Linked DNA regions of Pelodiscus sinensis. The protein of the gene in region 1 interacts with the protein of each later gene in a biochemical or structural test. Links are inferred from orthologs where the notes say so. Each region holds a gene or a part of one and is shown in the gene's direction. Other genes may lie near its edges. The genes, in order: TOM1 and TOLLIP.

The links.
Region 2: the proteins of TOM1 (region 1) and TOLLIP form a complex in vitro, tested with the Homo sapiens proteins (3 studies listed by BioGRID and IntAct, with this or other methods). The link is inferred for Pelodiscus sinensis from reciprocal best matches to the Homo sapiens genes TOM1 and TOLLIP.

What each region holds. Positions count from the first base shown.
Region 1 is NC_134711.1:94,113,339-94,122,751, reverse strand, and holds the start of TOM1 (target of Myb1 membrane trafficking protein), read left to right. Parts: upstream 1-5,251; 5' UTR 5,252-5,408; coding exon 5,409-5,460; intron 5,461-9,413. Other genes in the region: HMGXB4 (HMG domain-containing protein 4), read left to right, coding at 1,239-1,283.
Region 2 is NC_134714.1:117,913,352-117,922,416, forward strand, and holds the start of TOLLIP (toll-interacting protein), read left to right. Parts: upstream 1-4,912; 5' UTR 4,913-5,037; coding exon 5,038-5,070; intron 5,071-9,065. UniProt on the Homo sapiens protein: Component of the signaling pathway of IL-1 and Toll-like receptors. Inhibits cell activation by microbial products. Recruits IRAK1 to the IL-1 receptor complex. Inhibits IRAK1 phosphorylation and kinase activity.

The sequences.
Region 1 (9,413 bases):
CTGAATCAGAGGCAACACTGTAGGCTCCAGGTTTGAGCTGGTCTGCAAAAGGAGCCAGTTTAAAAACTGGCTCCCCTCACAGACTAGCTGCCTGTCACCCTATGTTGTTCCCTCTGATACAGAGGCAACAGTGTGGGATGGCAGCAGCCCCTGTCCGGGGAGTGGTCTGAGATCCCGGACCTGGTGTGAGATGGAACTGAGCCAGGCTGCCTGCCTGCCTGACTCCTAATACACTTTAAATGCAGAGCCGCAGTGGTGGTAGGTCCCGAATCCGGTGCAAGGCAGGACTGAGCCGGGATGCATGTAGTCTATAGCATTAACTGATGAGCTTTTTCTTATCAGTTAATCGACTGTACTATTACATCCCTATTATTAAATGAAACATTTTTTTTTGATTGAATGAACTGTTTTGTTTGACTGCAAAAAAAATTTTTTTCGGTTTGCTGAAAATTCTGAAAGTCTGTTTTGGATCCATCCCAAAGCAATTTCTTGTCGATTTTTGTTTTTCATGGAATTGCCAGAGAACTGAAAAATCTGTTATTTGCACAGATCTAGTCTGAGGCTTCCTTTGGGTAGCCAGCCATACCTCTGGGATTAGTGGTGTGCTGCAGTCATAGACACTACAGATAGAGTTGCTGCAACATGTTTGCTGAGATTCTGGGGACCACAGCAATGTCCTTTAAGCTGCCCAGCAGCATTTGCAGAGGAAATCCAGGAGCCCAGACACATTTTTCCCTCCCACCTTACTTCTGAAATTTTTTTCATTTTTCATCCTTTTACATTAAAAGTTATAGAGTTTCTCATGAGATTGTGTGGGCAGGGTGTTTTCCTGGATTCCCCTATTATTTCCATCACCCTGGATTGGGTCCTTCCTTGCTGATCTTCTGTCTGGTGGATATGGGCTCGTTTTGGTTTGTTTCCTAATTCATCTATGCTGCTCCTAGCATTGGCCATAAGGGATGGGGAATCATTTAAAGCAATATGAGATTTTCCCTTGCATCCAGGTGCCCCCAGTGAGAGCACCATCTTTCAACTAGGTCTCCTTGTATTTCCAAAACTCCAAAGGATAGCTGACAGTACTGGTAACATCTAAAAATGGGGCTGATTCCATGCTGTAGAAAATTACATGACAAGATGGGGATCTTCACATCCCATGGCAGCTACACTAAAGCATTGTTTCTGTAGGATTTGGGATCGTAACCCGTTCTCTTTAAAAATATTAAATGTTCTCTTTCCAGTCAAACACACTAGACAACATCGCCTACATCATGCCTGGACTCTGACAGGAAAGGATACTCGTATGTACCCTGCTTCCATGTTACAGACTTCTGTACATAGGCACTATACTGGCACTCTCCAAGGGCTCCATGTGTAGGGTTTTAAACTTTTCTATCTGTATAGTATATACATAGGATTGTAACTATTTTACTTTTATTAATTTTATGAAAAGTTGTGATGTGTAAGCTGAGAGAATCCTTTCCTGTTGGTGGGAGAGACCTGCTCAACATATTCTCCAGTCTGAAGTTTTTGAGTAATTGGAGTTCATAACACTTTTGATTACATCAGCCTTAAATTCAAAAAAGCCTTTTTTGGGAATTGGCCTGAGCCCAGACTGTTTGTCAGTGGACAAGTACACATGCTTGTTTATTTTGGATCAAGCAATTATTCTGGACTTGTCACCAGCCCTGTTTCTAACTTCTGTTGAAATGTACTGCTTTGGGGGAAGACTGGTTGGCTGATGGAAGATAGAGGCTTTGACCTGTAGGTCATTTTTTACAGCCCCAAAGTCATTAGTGATTGAAATTTGTTTGTCTGCTGACTGGTTGGTAACTTGTAATAAATAGTTCTGGAGATGGTGAAGAATCTGTACTCTTCTAGAGGACTTGCACCCACATCATCATTAACACTAGCTGTCAGCCTCAGAAGAGAGCCAAAGATTGAATGGACTAAGGGGAACAAGCCACCCTCTAATTCCTCCAGATCAAGGCTGTGCCATCCTGATGGGGAAGAGAGGGAAATAGGTGGAAGAAACTTGCACTGCCTCTGCCCATCTGTACATGTTTTGTATGGAGAGGACTTTGTTTCTATGAATGTTGATCCCATCGTCCTGTTCACCAGCAGTGTTAAGAAGGAGCTATGGAATCCTCCTGGTGCTGCTGTATTATCTTGAAACAATGCTTAATGTTAAAGGTTGAAGAGGTTCTTTCTGAGCTGAACATGGACTGAGTGGACAAATCCCATGAAAGCTACAGGAAAGCATTTGATTCTCACGTAGAGGTGTGTGCGTGGTATATTTAAGTTTTACCAGTATCTGTAACAGAGTTTAATTTATCATGTATATTTCTGTATATATGTGTGTGTGGATGTGTATATACATATATATTTATATATATATATAATTTAAAAGCAAAAAAGCCTTCCCTCTACAAATTGCGTGTGGAAAATATGAATCAGCTCATCCCCCACCTTGCCAATGGTAACTGTTTCAGTTGTTGCAGGCATAGACTTTGCAAGAGGGACTAGTGACAACAGGTTAAATTCTCGAAAAGAATTTAACCCAGGGATGTTGGGTGAAAGCTGAACTAGAGACCCATTTATTTTGGCTCCGGCCTCCTCTTCCCTTTTAACTTAGGGGTTTTAAGATAGCAGAAGGACAGCACTTCTGCTTCTGTTTTGAATTCTGGATTCTCTATTTTCAGTGGCAGCTGGAAATGAGCATTACCACTTTATGGCTGAGCTCTAAATCTTTTGTGGTTAAGCAGATCCTCGGGTGTGAAGAGGGAAGCTTTCACCCAATCCTCTCTACTATGTATTTCCCCAGCTGCACATACATGGTAGATGCTGTTTTTGCATTGCTTCGTCTCGTAATTCAATGCTATTTTATTGGTTAGTCAACAGGGCTGGGTTGGTGGATGAAACAAGAGGCTCTTATAGAGCATATAGAAGATCTGGGCCCAGGCCTCAGACTTAGGCATACACATCTCAAAAATATGTGACTATATATAATCCTAAGCAGCATTTGAGGGAGGCAGGGTGGACAGAAGGATCTTGGTGGGCCCTTTGGACCCTCACATGTCTTGAAAATGGCATAAAACACCTGACTGTTTCTCACTCTCCACAGTGGACAGTACTGTAGTGAATGATAGATATTCAGATCTCTATCTAAGAAACAGAAGGGGATCAATCAGCTATTATTTTTGATCTGTATAACAAACTCTTGAAGAGTTTTAAAAAAACAACCACACACATAAACCCTAATGTATTGTATTTTTATTTAAAATTTATAAACATTTGTATAATCTGTATCTTGTGGTATTTGGTACTAGAAGGAAAACTTTGGACCGAGACCTAGCAGTTTTTATATTTTTGTTATTTTTCTTGCCATTTGGTCCAGATTGCATTACAGTTGTATAAAGAAACCTTTTTGTACTGTACTTACATATAATATTTTTTAACATTTGGAGTATGTGTCATTATTATTTATAGCATGCTCTGTATCTTCTCCCCAATGCTAGTTATTAGTGTTCAGTATTACTAAACAGCACATCTGTTCTTCTAGCTTCTCCTGTTCAGGCAGTATATTCCAACACCAGTATATTCTAATATCACAGTCTGCTTGATACATCTCTTGAAAATTACTGATAATTATTTAGAGGCCTATTCCATATTTCTTAGCAGCATCAGTGAGAGACATGCCTGAGAGCTGTCATCTAGCATTGCAAATGTCCCAATGTTGAGCCATATTTCTGCCCCTGGGATCCTCCCTGCAACTGGATTTGTGTTGCAAGCAAAATAGTACTGGTGGTTCAGGATCAGTATGGTAAAACTGCCTGTTACAGAAAAAACAGGAATAGTACATATTGTCATAGTCTTTAAAAATTCTGTTTTCAGTTGAGAAACTCATGGGTCAGTTTCAGCCTCAAAACTTGTGATAGTTTGTCAACCTGTCAACCCTTGATATTGCAGAATATGACACTTCACTAACCCTCCTTATATTTCAACACAAGTTGACAAGAGAGAAATTTTAAAATACTTAACCACCTACCAAAACACATTTCACGATTCCACGAAAACCACTGCCTTATGTTCTACTTTGAGAGCTATTTAACATATATAGGCAGAAACATACATGCTGCAGGTGGTTGTCCTTTCCTCCTACTGTCACATAAGATGTTAGTTTATCATTTTTTTACATGATTAACTGATAAGCCTGCATTTACCGGTTACTCCAAATGACTACATGCACAACCCCAGTTTGCTGCTCTGTATCAGAGGTAATGTGAGGAGAGGTGGGAACTGGTGCTGGTTCCCTCAGAGCTGCCTCCCACAGAGGCAGCACCAGCACTGGGGGAAGTGCTTATTCATCCTGACAGGAAGTTTTTCCTAATGTCCATCCTAAACCTTGCTGCAATTTAAGTTTCTTGTCCTATAATCAAAGGTTAAGGAGAATAATTTTTCTCCCTTCTTGTAATACCCTTTTAGATACTTGAAAACGGCTATCATGTCCCCGCTTTGTCTTCCCTTTTCTATACTGAATAAACCTAATTATTTGTCTTTTACTGGATCTTGAATTATTTGGGGGCATTGTAATGTGATGAGGTGACCCCGGGTTCATTATTGCCCCATATTATGCCTTCACCAGGAAAATGAAAGCCTTTAGACCCACAGTCTAAAACAGGACTACGTAGCACTTTATAGACTAACAAGATGCTTTATTAGATCAAATCTGAGGAAGTGGGACTGGCCCACAAAAGCTCATCACCTAATAAACCATCTTGTTAGTCTTTAAAGTGCTACATAGTCCTGTTTTTTGTTTCACCTGCAGCAGACTAGCAGGGCTACATCTCTATTACTAGTCTAAAACAGGTGAGAGGAAGAATATCCCTTGTGTAGGAGAGTTCTGCTGTGCTCTAATCCACATGTAGCATGGAGGTGGGGTCAGATGATGCCTAATCTACTCCTTGAGGTGGGGGAGAACAGGGCCATGAGGTCTTTGTGGGTGAGGGAAAAGGGGGGGATGGAGGGTCACGTGTAGGAGCAGATAAAACTCAGGTAGGAGCGGCCAGGTCGATGGGGGGGGGGGGGTAGGTAGGGGACGAGGAGTAAAGAGCTTATTTCACAGTCCCCTGGTAAGCCTGTAGCATATTTGCCTCTGCAGTGACGACATAGTGTGAGGTCACGAGCCTAGCTTTGTGACGTCACAGTGTCCGCTTGTGCTACGGGCCCGCCCCTCCCTCCGCGCCTCCCGCAGACCGGCGCTCTCCGCCGGGCACGCCCTGGAAGGACAGAACGCCGCCTGCTTTCGTCACGCGTAGGCGGGGCGGCCAGGCACACCCCGTCCCGAGCCCGAGGGGGGGTCACGTGACGGGCGCCCGTGTCAGCTGATACCGGGCCGTGCGGCGGCGGCGATGGACTTTCTCCTGGGCAACCCCTTCAGCTCCCCTGTGGGGCAGCGCATCGGTGAGTCCCTCTGCCCCCTTCGCCCCCTCCCCCCGCCAAGTCAGCCCCCTCCTCTGGGGAGCAGCAGCGACAGCAGCTGGGTAGGCGCGCGCGGCTGGGCGGGTCCCACAGCCTCCTCGCAGGATTGACACAGTTCCGGCCAATAGAGAGGCGAGACTGATTTGACTGACGAGCGCCGGCGGCTAATGGGGGCAGGCGGGAAGGCGGGCCACGGGGGGGCCATGGGGCCAGCCAATCCCCGTGCACGGGGGTCTCGGAAGTTTTCTTATTTAAAGGGGCCCGGTGGCCAGAGCCGAGCCCTGTGCGAGGCGGCGGGGGCTGCGGATGGATGTGCCGCGTCACAGCACCGCGAGGCCTCCCCCTGACCCTGGCGACCCTACAATAACAACCCGGACTAGGGTTGCCAGCTCCCCCGGAGCGCCCGAGAGTCTGCAGCAGCTGAAGCCTAGTACTGTGCAGTCACAGATGTTACTTGTCATGTGATGGAACCTCCAGGAATATGTCCAACTACAATGGGCACCCTAGCAGGGACTACAGGCAACTAACTGAGTGTTGCCTGTGCTCCCACGTCAAGTAGAGGTGGCTGTAGCAGCAGCAGAAGGGTTCTTGGGGAACAGCCTGTGGGTGTCAGTTGTAGGGAGGAGAGCAGGTACCAGGGGAACTGTAATCTGCTCCCTGCCCTTGGAGCCACCCATCCCCATCAGTGCAATGACCTGGGTGGTGTCCCTGCTAGTTTGGAGGGGAAGAACACGTACTTATTCTGGCTTCACAGTTAGCTCTTCAGGGCAAGGGTTGTACATGCTTCGCTAAGTTTATGACACTAATAACCACATGTACCTGGCCTCACTGTTCAGGCTAATTCTTACTGAGCTCCTTGCACCCTCCATCTCCTTGTGGAGTTAGTCTTCTCCCTCCCTCTCTCCCCGGCCCCAAGACCCGTGATCAGCATTGTTAGAAATCCATGGAAAGCTTTGGCAAAAATCTGGAATTTTTAACAGGGAGGTTTTGTTTGCATTTTCTAATCTGTTTAACTGAACTCTTTTAATTAGGGCATCTTCCTCATCTGAAGAATGGGCTTATTCAGTGTAAACATGTTGGCTACGTCTAGACTGGAATGATTTTCCGCAAATGCTTTTAACAGAAAAGTTTTTCTGTTAAAAGCATTTGCGGAAAAGAGCGTCTAGATTGGCACGGATGCTTTTCCGCAAAAGCACTTTTTTGCAAGAAAGCCCCAATCGCCATTTGCGCAAGAGGGCTTTTGCCTGAACGGGAGCAGCATAGCATTTCCGCAAGAACACTGACAATCTTACATGAGATCATCAGTGTTCTTGTGGAAATTCAAGCGGCCAGTGTAGACAGCTGGCAAGTTTTTCCGCAAAAGCAGCTGCTTTTGTGGAAAATCTTTCCAGTCTAGACACAGCCGTTATGTTTCAGCAATATATTGATTTCCACTAATTGAATTAATTATTAGCCAGAGTTTTTGAAAGATTGGGGCCTTTTCTATAGCACCATGGTTTTACCCCAGTGCTTTATGAATAGATGAATTATTCCCTGCCCTATCAAGTTTTTAGGAAGGCAAGATATCAAAGGCATAAATGCATCTAAGAACTTCCAGATAAATAGGATCTGATCCAGTATAAGACCTTGCAAATCTAGAAAGAACAGCATTCTTCTTAGTCTTTTGGTTGAGTTTAACTAAAGAAAGGGAGGAAACTAATATACAATAAACTAAAACAACAAGAAATTGGAAAATTGAGAGAAAGTACAAAGAAGGACTGGAGAAACAAAGCTGGAAGGGAAAAATACGTTTTTAAAAGTATTTAACAAAGTTTTAATGTAGAATGATTTTTATAAAGACTTTATCTGCTTGTATGGTGTAATATTTTTTACTTTTTCAGGGAAACCTTGTATCTCTGGGCGGGGGAGTAAGTCTGTCCTTGGTTTCTGGTCCTTTGCTTGTTTACCTATCAGTTCCACAATGTTGCGTCTCAGACTGTAATCTTCTGCAGACTTTCTTTGACAGCCTGACGAAGTCACTCACTAATTGAAACTGTGATATTAATGACAGACTATTTAAGCACAAATTCAACTCAAGAATCTCTGGGGCTGCCACCACCGAAGTCTCTATTATGTCAGAGACCTACATTCTTCTCACCTTGGGGCCTTTTAATTCATTCCACCCTAATTATCCCTTGCTCTCACACACAGCTGGGACTACAGGTTGTCATTGGAGAAGAGGGTGCGGGAGTTTGCTTAGCTGAAGAGAAGAGGCAAAACCCTTCTGAAAACCCTTCTCTATGACCCCCATCAAAATTGTCCAATGGGTTTCCCCCTGATATTTTATTTTATTTGAATTCTTATAGTGCACTCAGCAGTGTGGTAGCTGAATGTCTTCCAGTTGTGTATTGAACAATGTGACTAATATCTGTCACATGCACAGACTTCTCTTCCTGAAGAGAGGATGAGAGAACAAGCAATGGAGTGACTTTACACATGCACACACCCATGTTGCTAGCTAATGTCGAGCACTAAAATAGGGTGCCTTGATTTTTTTTCATCTTGAAAAGCTGGCCCCATGTTTATGTGTGGTGTCATTCATTCCAAAAAGCTCAAAGCATTATGCAAACTATCTAAATAGAACAGTGTCAAAGTGTGTCATGCTCTGGAGTAGGGGCCAGCAGCCTGGTCCATGGTATGTGGTACAATGTGGGGGGGGTGATTGTTCCTACTATGGTGGAAAGTACCATGTGATCTGTAACAGACAGTAACCGCACATGTTGTCATTTATTATCTGGAGAACGTTCTTCTGGATCCCCCTAGAACAAGTGTCCCTTGATTCCTGAAGTGAGTGGATTCTGCATGTTACATTTAGTCAGGTTTGACTTGCCCTCCCTTAGATGCTGTCAGCTTTCACTTCTTTCCCTACTTCCTGTCTTGTTTGGGATGGCAACTAGGGATGTAATAGTGTAGTCGATTAAACTATTAACCGATAAGCAAAGGCATATTGGTTAATGCTATCCAGTGCTTTTTTTGTTAAAAAAAAATGATGCTGGTACTAGGGTTGCCAGATGGTTTTGTTGAGCAAAAAAAAAAAACCCGCCCTTTAATTGCTGCATGTCCTGAGTGGGCTTCCATCCAGCGCAGCACAAGTGCTCCCAGGGCCGGCAGGGGGCTGTGCTGGAGGAAAGTGGTGAGTGCTCACAAAAAAAGCACTGATGCTCTCAATTACACACATTTCCCTTTCTTCCCCTACCCCCACCAGTAAATTTTTAGACAGCTAGCCGGCAGCCTGGTTCAATCCCTGCTGGTGCCAGGTCCAGGAGCTACCCCCGCTGCAGCTCTGCAGTGCATATCTTTTAGGAGCTGGATGAATAGGCCGCCCAGCTCCTAAAATACTTTTATTGCAGAGTCACAGCAGGATAGCTCCTGGAACCTGACGTAAGCCTGCCTGGCTTCTAAAAGATTTTTACTGCACAGCCACAGTGAACATAAGAATGGCCATACTGAGTCAGACCAAAGGTCCATCTAGCCCAGTATCCTGTCTGCCGACAGTGGCCAATACCAGATGCCCCAGAAGGAGGGATCACAACAGGTAATCTTCATGTGATCCTCCCCTGTCACCCACCTCCAGAGAAACAGAGGCTAGGGATACCATTCCTACCCATCCTGGCTAATAGCCATTGATGGACCTAACCTCCATGAATCTATCTAGCTCTTTTTTGAACCCTGATGAAGTTCTAGCCTTCACCACATCCTCTGGCAAGGAGTTGCACATGCTGACTATGCACTGAGTGAAGAAAAAAGTCCTTTTGTTTGTTTTAAACCTGCTGCCTATTAATTTCATTTGGTACTCGCCCAGCTTCCACTCCGTCATGCACAGATCCCACAGTGCCCGCTGTGGCCCAGCAAAATCTTTAATCCAACATACCCTGTTTTCTGGGTTTGCCGCTCTT
Region 2 (9,065 bases), on another chromosome or scaffold:
CTGTGGCTCTTATCCACTCCTCTGTCAGCATAAGCTTAGTCAGGATATGATGACAGAACTTCCACCGCTAGCTGCTGCCCCAGATCACCCTTGAAAAAAACATTCTCTTGAGGAGAGAGAATCTGTGGAAATGCTAACAACATAACTTGGGAGGTGATGTACCACTGCCATATTTCTGTGCGGTACTATGGTGACATTTTGTTGCAGTATGATAGGGCTATTCCACTACTATGCCCACATCTTCACTTGCGGGAAGATCAACACTGCGGTGGTCGATCTTTTGGTGTGTGATTTAGTGGGTCTAGTAAAGACCCACTAAATCGAACACCAAGGATGCCTCTGTCGGCACCGGTACTCCTACTCTTCGTGAGGAAGAAAATATTTTTCCTATTGACCTCCCTGAAGCTCAGCTTAAGGTACATCAACTCCAGTCACATTTTTTACATAGCTGGAATTGTGAACTTTAAGCCAACCTTCCCCCGTAGTGTGGACCTGGCCTATGTCACTGCATAGTATCAGGTTGCTGTGTTCAACACAGTGATAACATTTCAGCATAAGGTGACAATGATGATGTTTCCCCACTACATAGCCTCGCTGCATTACAATGCTGTTTCAATGCAGTGTTTAGCTGCCATGATTTTGTGCCACATTGTAATATGCTGTAGACATCTTAATGCCCTGATGCAGTGGTGCATCACAAAGTTTCAGTGGAAAGTGATGGTGATATTTCCTCGTCCCGTTGCTCCGCTGTGGCACCGCAATGCTATTTCAGTGCAGTAGAACAGATTTCTCAGTGCCCTATCACACTGATGCATTGCCATGATCATTTGGTGCAAGGTGATAGTTGTGCTGTGTAACCATGGTATTTCAGTGCAATGTTTCATTGTTGTGCCACCGTAACACGTCATAATAGCCACATTTCAGTGCAATGTGAGGATGATGTTTCATTATCCCATCACTGCATTATGTTGTAATGATGTTTCTTCATCGAGCAAGGGACACATTTTACCCTCGCGTCACCACGCTACATATGGATGGGGTTTTAAAGTAATGCAATGTAGATGTTTCACCTTCATTTTGTAGCACTGCATCACCATGAGGTTTTGGCACAAGAGAATGGTAATGGTGATCCCCACACCATCACCCTTGTGTCACGTTGTATGATGCTGTTTCTGCACGATGTGATGATGATGTACTATATTGTTGCACTGCATCACAATGATTTTTCTGTGCAAGGCTGTAGCGACGTTACACTGTTGCCTTGTTCTACTATCCCACAATTATATTTGGTTCAAGGCAATGGTGTTCAGCTGCTATATTGACATGCCACATCATAGCATTTCAGCAAACTCCGATGGGAATGTTTCCAGGGGTTTTGGCTATTGGTTAACTGAATAATCGTGTAACCGCATCAAATTTTACCAGTTACACAATTATTTGATAGTCCCTGGATGTGGAGCCAGCACTCAGTGTGCTCCTGGCCCAACTCCTGGGGAGCCCCCTGCTATCCCACACTGCTGCCTCTGTATCAGAGACAGCAGCATGGGAGAGCGGTAGCTCCTCTCTGTGAGGGACTTTGCTGCAGCCTCCCCGCTCTGCACTGCTGCCTTTGATAGAGGCAGCAGTGTCGAGGGAAGAGGAAGGTGGCGGCGGTGCACATGAGAAGCCGGGTTTTAAGATGGCTCCCCCTGAGCACCGGCTCTTGCCTGCCCCCCACCTCCACCCCCGCCCGTGCAAGAGACCACAAGGGAGAAGCAGGCGGCTCTGTGGAGCTGGCACACGTGGAGAGCTGGCTTAAAAGCCAACTCCCCACATGTATGTGCTCCTGCTTCTGCTCCCTCTTCACCCTATGCTGGTGCCTCTGATAAAGAGGTAGTAGGGTGGGAGGGAAGGGGCAAGTGGCTCTATGGGAGATGATACATGTCAGTCAGCTTGAAAGCGGCTTCCCATTTGTACCAGCTCCTGCCTGTCCCTCCTCCCACTTACCCTCTATCAGAGCCAGCAGCGTGGAGGGGGGAAGGGAGGGCGGGAACAGGCGACTCTGTTTGTGGGGAGCTAGCTTAAAAGCCAGCTTCCCATGGGCACCAACTCCCACCTCCCCACCTTGCTGCCGCTATATCAGAGGCAGCAAGGTGGGGAGGAATGTGTATAGTCAATAGGATTAACCAATAAACCCAGGCTTATCAGTTAATCATGTAGTCAGCTACACATTGACATCCCTAGATGTTTTGTGGTCAAATTGATGTGTTGTTTTAATGCAGAGGGATAGTGATGATGTTTTAGTGTCACGCTGTCACCCTCTCCTAATACTACTTCAGTGCAAGCAGATGGAGGTAATGTTTTACCCACACATGGCCATGCCGTATTCCAATGAGTTCAAGCACCTTGTCGTCATGACATACACAATAATATTACCTTGGAGTAGGATGGTTGTGTTTCAGTGCAAGGCAGGTGTTTCTGAATAAGTAGTGTCTTAGTGTGGGATCATTGGTGTCTCTCTGTGAGAGGGATCTTGGAAGAGGCTGTATTGGGGCAGGGTGGAGCTATCTCAGATGGAGGCATCTTGGGGTGGGCAGTGGAGTCTTAGCATTCAGTGGCAGTGTCCCTGTGTGGCATAATGAACATTTTGGTGATCTGGAACAAAGACACCACCCACAGAAAGGTAGTGTTCCAGTGTGGTGGCTCTTTCTGGGTGGCGGATTGTGCTGAATGAGGTCGTCTCACATGAGGCAGTCAGTGATGTATTTAGCAAGGCATGTGAGTGTCTGTGTGCAGTGTGGTGGTGCCTTAGGACAAGGCAATGGTCATTTTGGCAGGGGAGGATGGAATCACAATATGGGACTGTTGAGTCTGATGTCTCTGCGTAGGTCTATCTTGGGATGGAGGAAAGTTTTCTTTACACAGTAGCATTTTGGCAGGTGAGCAGTGGCCTTTTTGGTGAGTGATGGCAGAGTGTTGGTGCAATATCACACCAGCATAGAGGCCATTTTACTGAAGGGTGATTTTGCATGGATGTTTTTGGTAGGTGTAGGGACAGTGGCTGTTTTAGTATTGGGCTCTTTTTGGTGCAATGCAGTGACATCTGGGTGCAGTGGTCTCTCACAGTGGAGTCCTTGCCTGGAAAGTGCTAATCAGTGAACATTTCCAGATGAACCTTGGAGAGTTGCTAGAAGGCACAAAACATTGCTAAACTTCAGATATCCTGTATTATTAGTGTGTGGAAAACTAGGTGATCGTTTTCTTTCGGCCATCAACATGTGCTCCAAAGATGCAATATTTTGTTCACAGCTTGCACTATAGGCAAGAATATTATGAGATCTAGAATTGTTACAGCTGTCAAAACACATATATTTCAAATGGTTGTGGTTGAATTAAAGTACTGATGGGTTTCATGTGTTTTTTTTAAATAACGTGGATATTAAATATATTGTTTAACAACAATGATGAGAATATATTTTTCAAAATGGGGAGGGCTCTTTACTTCTAGTCTTTTCACATGACGTGTTCCAAAATAAGTTATAGGGAAAATATTACATAATTAAAAACCTGTTTTTGCAGTCTTGTAAGATGAATTTATTTTATACCACTGTGACAAAAGAACTTTGTGGGATAGTATGTGCCCATTTATAAGTCTCACCTGGACATTTGCCCAATACCTGGACATTTGCCCAATTTTAATTTTTCAGAAAAAATATAATTACAGTATATCTTTTTTTAAATAAAAAACTTTCAAAAAAGTCAAATAATACTTCTGTTAACCTACAGGTGTATTACTACATGCTACTTCTTGCACATCAGTATCTGATTAAAGAAATGTCAAATGTACAGAAAATTCTAATTTAGGTTTATTGTCCTGTTTAAGATGTAGAACAGAAAACCAGTATTTCCTTCTAGTAAACTGAAAAAACCTTGCAGAAAATAACTAAGTACAAATCATAGACAAAGCACAATAAAGTATTCAGCAAGCCAATATAGCTGGCAATAAAAACATTTCATGCCAATAATACTTAGCAATCCTTATATTTAACAAACCATGAGTTAAGACTTAATATATTACCGTAAGTGTAGAAAATTCCCTATAGAACGGGGTTGCGTTGTTGTGGAAAGGAGTCTGACTATGTAAGCAAATGGTTGTTTCATTTTTTAAAAAAAGTATTACAATCATCAGCTGTTATCTTCTCGGGGGAGGTAAGTAAGTAAGAGCAGATTTATTTCCGCAAAAGAGACTGTGAAAATTGCAGAGGACACACACACAGCACACGTGTCTACCACGTCACAACACACACACGTTCCTCACACAGTACACACACACACACACACACAGACACACACGTGACAGTGCACACATCCATGCCCACGTCACAGCGCACACGTGTCACGGTAGCCACTCCATAACTAGTGCTACGAACAGCCCTCTCCAGATCTCAACAGACGTCGCATCTGAGCGACCTAGCACCTCGGTCCCTGGCAGCAAGGGCCAGAGTCCCTGCTGCAGCCCAGCCCCATGCCACATCCCCAAGCAGAAGCCCGGCTGCACCGTCCCCTCGCCCATAGCTAATGGCACAGCGCCCCCTGCAGGCCCAGCGTCTCCTCCGTGCCGGCTGGCTCTGCGCCTGTCGCCCGCGAAGAGCGAGGCGGAGGGAAAGGGCACTCCCCGGTGCACAGGCGTAGTCGAGCCGTTTGAGAGACATTTCGCACGAACGCTTTGTCCCAGCCATGTCGCATGCGCATGCGCCAACCGCAGGCTCCTCTCGCCCACCCAACCCTTCTCAAAGGCAGGGGCCGGAACCACCTGAGCTACGCACGCGCATTACCCCCAAAGGAGGCGGGATCAGTGGCAACCCGCCGGGCGGCGCGTGCGCATGGGCTATCTAGCGGTTTGGGCGTGGAGGCGGAGTTTAGAGGGGGGAAAAGCCGTTGCGCCGCGCAGGCGCAGTGCCGAGTAAGCGGGGCGAGGCTTGTGCTCAGCTGACGCCGGAGCGGTGGGGCTGGGGGTCGGTTGGCGGCGGCCTGCTCGGGCAGAAAGGGGGTCCCGCTATGGCGACCACTGTCAGCACCCAGCGGGGCTCGGTAAGTAATCGCTGCCCAGGGCCACGCGGGGTGGGAAACAAGGGGTCTCCTCCGGGCCCGGTCTCCGTCCTTCCCACCATTGGCCGTGGGCCCCAGCGGCTGCCCTCTCGCCATAGCTCCCCCCCCCCCGAGCTGTGCGGCCCCCGCCCTTCGCCCCTAGTGTTCGGGCCAAGGGGCCCCCACTGCCAGCAGCTCCCCCCCGTGTGTGTGTGTGGGGGGGGGTCTGCCCCGTCTTCCCACCGGGAGAAGGGCCTTTAGGGGACTCTGCCCATCGTCCCCTCCCCCCACGAGGCCCCGGGGGGCTCTGCCCCTTCCCCCAACGTAGCCCTTAATCAGGCAGAGGAGGCGAAAAGGGGACCCGGGGGGAGCGCAAAGCGGCGTGCGGCGCCCTCCCTGCTCCCAAACGGCTGCCTGCTGCTGGGAAGGAAATGAGACGTTAGGGGGCAGCTGTCTGTCTCTGTTCTGTCGTGGGGACATCTGTGGTGGAGGGGGGTGTGTGTGTGTGTGTGTGGACGGGAGGGGGCTAGATAGCTTCCCCAATTATCACCTCTATCTTGGTAATGGGTAAGATAGTTTGAGTGACACTCTCCGGGAAGGAATGAACAAACACTCAAACTATCTTACCCATTACCAAGATAGCTTCCCCAATTATCACCTCTAATACCATTAGCTCACAGACATCCCACTCTCCCCACCTCTAATTTCATCAATTCACAGACACTTACCTTCCTTCCCCCCCCCTTGCATCCCCCTCCTGTTCTGAAATGTGATTTGTCCTTTTCATATGTGTTCACTTTTTTTTTAATTGTATCCTTTGGTATATATGGTTGTGACTATTTTCTTCCACTATTTGATCTGAGGAAGTGGGTCTGGCCCGTGAAAGCTCATCACCTACTAAACCATCTTGTTAGTCTTTAAAGTGCTACATTGTCCTGCATTTTGCTTCAGCTACCCCAGACTAACACGGCTACATTTCTATCACTCTTGAGAGAAGTGATTAATAGACTTCTGTTGATTCCTAAAACTGCTCTGTGTCTGGAATACATAATTCCCCTTTCTGTTCCTCTTTCCATAACAAAAGATAAGACACAATTTCTATATTTCTCTCCCTATAGTTTGAAGGGCGACTTCTTCCCAAACTGTAGTACAAGTAAATAACCACTAAAGGGTGCTAAAGCACTAAATATTAGGTTCCTTCAACCCTATTCTGTAGACTAGAGAATGTGACCTTTGTGTTGATGGTAGTTTATCCAAGCAGGAATAGTTCCAAGATTTTTCAAGTGTGGGTACCTGGCAGCACACAATAGCATTGGTGTCAGCAGTCAGCATATTCAATCTTATGTACATGCTTCCCAATTTGTAGCTCATTTATACATATTTAATAAGATACAAAGCTTGTCATTTAGTTTATCGGATGATGAAAACTGAAGTTCCTTTTGACTATCAGTAGCAAATGCTTAAGTGGAATATTCCTGAAGCTCTTGATAGTCTGGTGTCTTGACTAATAATCTTCCTTTCACAACAATATAAATTCTAATATGTGAGCTATGGATGAATTTTAGTGGCAGCTGTATTTTTCTTTGTAGTTATTATATGATCAGTATCTTGTATCTTTAACAAGTGTGGTGGATATGAGAGGTGCCATTAAAAAAATCTGTTGGTTGGATTTCAAATTATATCTGCGAGAATACAAAATTAATGATTCCTTAAAATGCTCCTTTTGCAGTCCATTTTATGTTTGTTGGTGACACAGTATCTCATCATTAAGTTGGAGCTCCTGACTGTTTTATCACTCAGAGCTCTTTTACTAAAGATGTGCTGCTTTTTCTGGATATAAATTAACTTTTGACTTACTGTTCTCTCATGTTCTTAATGGAAAGAATGTATGAGGAATCCTAATTTAACTGTGTTGCAGAGGGATGCACTTAGACCTGAAATGCCAGTGTCCAGTGATGGTAAATATCATCTAGCTATCCTGCTGCTGCTTGGTCAAGGATAAAGTTTGGGTTCTGCAATACATTTTGGTTCAGAATTTCTGATTGGAAAGAAGTGGATGCTTATAATGCCTCTATGCACTTAATATTTTTCAGCAGTTAAGGCAAACATTTACAACTTCATCGTAGTTGTGATATAGTGGTGGTCTCTGTGGGAATACTGCTGTCAGAAAATGTGCAAACTAATGTAGATAGAGCTACTTAGTGCTCATTTACTGAAGAAATATGTTTTCAGAAAGTTACCCTGATTGACTCAAAGGCTTTCTGTTAGCAGACAAGACTTTTGGATCTACGCAAAAAACTTTGGAAGAAAGGAAGGTTTAATGATGCATGGGATGATGTGGAAGAATTCAAAACTTCTCAGTGCAATCAGTACTGAAATTCTGAGAAGCATTTCCTCCTCTCCTCTCTCACAGACACATACTTTTAAAGCAAATCTCAATGTGAATTAGAAGCCTAGTCCTAAATCAACATTTTTCACTAAAGGAAAGTAAGACACAGAGGTTCACTATCTTATTAATGAGTTACTCAGTAAATCTGTACAGGTTGGAACTCTTTTAACTGGGATGGGAACATTCATGCTGCAGCATGGATGCTGCAGGAGCAGAGCGTCCCAGTGGAGGGCCAGTGACAAGGATCCCTGCAGGGCCGACAGAGCAGTTGGGGTGCCCACAACAAGCCTGCTATCAGCGCGTGGCAGCAGGTCTGGCCAGCGGGATTGGGGAGACATGCGTGTATCTGTCTGGTGGGGTTGGGAGCTGTGGTAGCTTGGTGGGGCAGGGATCCATGGCATGCAGCTATCTGGCGGGTCTCAGAGCCCCAGTGCAGTGTGCATGGCTGCCTGCGGGACCTGGAGCCCCAGCTCAGCATGTGCAGTTGCCTGTCGGGATCTGGAGTCCAAGGTTGGCATGTGAGATGTGGCCCAAAGCCACCGAAGTGATGGCTGCCCAGCAGGGTCCGCAGGGCATTTGGGCCAGCAGGAGGTGAGGAGCTGGCAGCAGCAGGGGGTCCACAAATGACCTCTTCTAGTCCAGCAAAATCCCTCAAGGACTGGACAGGTCGTGAGGGTGCCAGACCAGGGAGGTCCAACCTGTAGCTGAGCAGTAGAGCCCAGATGTCACGGAGCCCAGAGCTTAAATCTCTAAAAATACACATTTTATATCAATCATCGTAATGGAACATTAGTTTTGATCTTATTCAAAACGTCAGTGATGGTTTTTTTTATTCTCCAAAAGCTGTAGTTGTTCTTCACGCTCGTTTCATAGATACGATGGCCTTGATCTGGATGTTGTGAGACTCATATGTCTATTTGTAAATAGCTACAAAGATTGTTTTGAGTGAGATCCTGACTCCTATCAGACTTGATCAAGGCAGTCATTTCTGTATTTGTAAGTAAGCATTACAGAATCTAGTTGGTCTCTGATCTAGCTGTCCATATAATTAATTCAGCAGAAGTAAAATAATACATTTTAACTAGTGCCTTTATAGAATTTTTTATTGATAGAATTTTTTATTGAAAGCACTTGTGTCCAGAGCTTGAATTTATGCTGATAGTGCTTGACCTTTTCTATTGACCCAAGTTGGCAAAAGCCAGAAATTTTAAGATGTCAGTTCTCCAAAATGCTGTTTCCTCATAGGAATAGTTAAACTGAGGATTGTGAAGAGCGGTAAGTAGTGGAGAAGCAATAGGTAAATTGGATTTTTCATGATGTAAAAAGCCATGCCCTATAATACTAACTAAATAGCAACCCTCGTATTCTCCCCCTTGCCCCACCCCAAAAAAAAACCCTCACTCAACCTTAATTCTGTATTAACAAAGGGGTTCTTGGGTATTCTAGAGATAGCTAGTGCCTTTCCAGAGTATCAAGTAGGGATGCTCGCAAACATTTGTTTTTGTAAATCTGTAATTGCTGACTTTTTTTCAGCAGTTCCATGTTTACACATGGGGGGCAGGCTGGAGCTGATGCTTGCAGGGAGCTAGCTGAAACAGAGGTAGCTGTG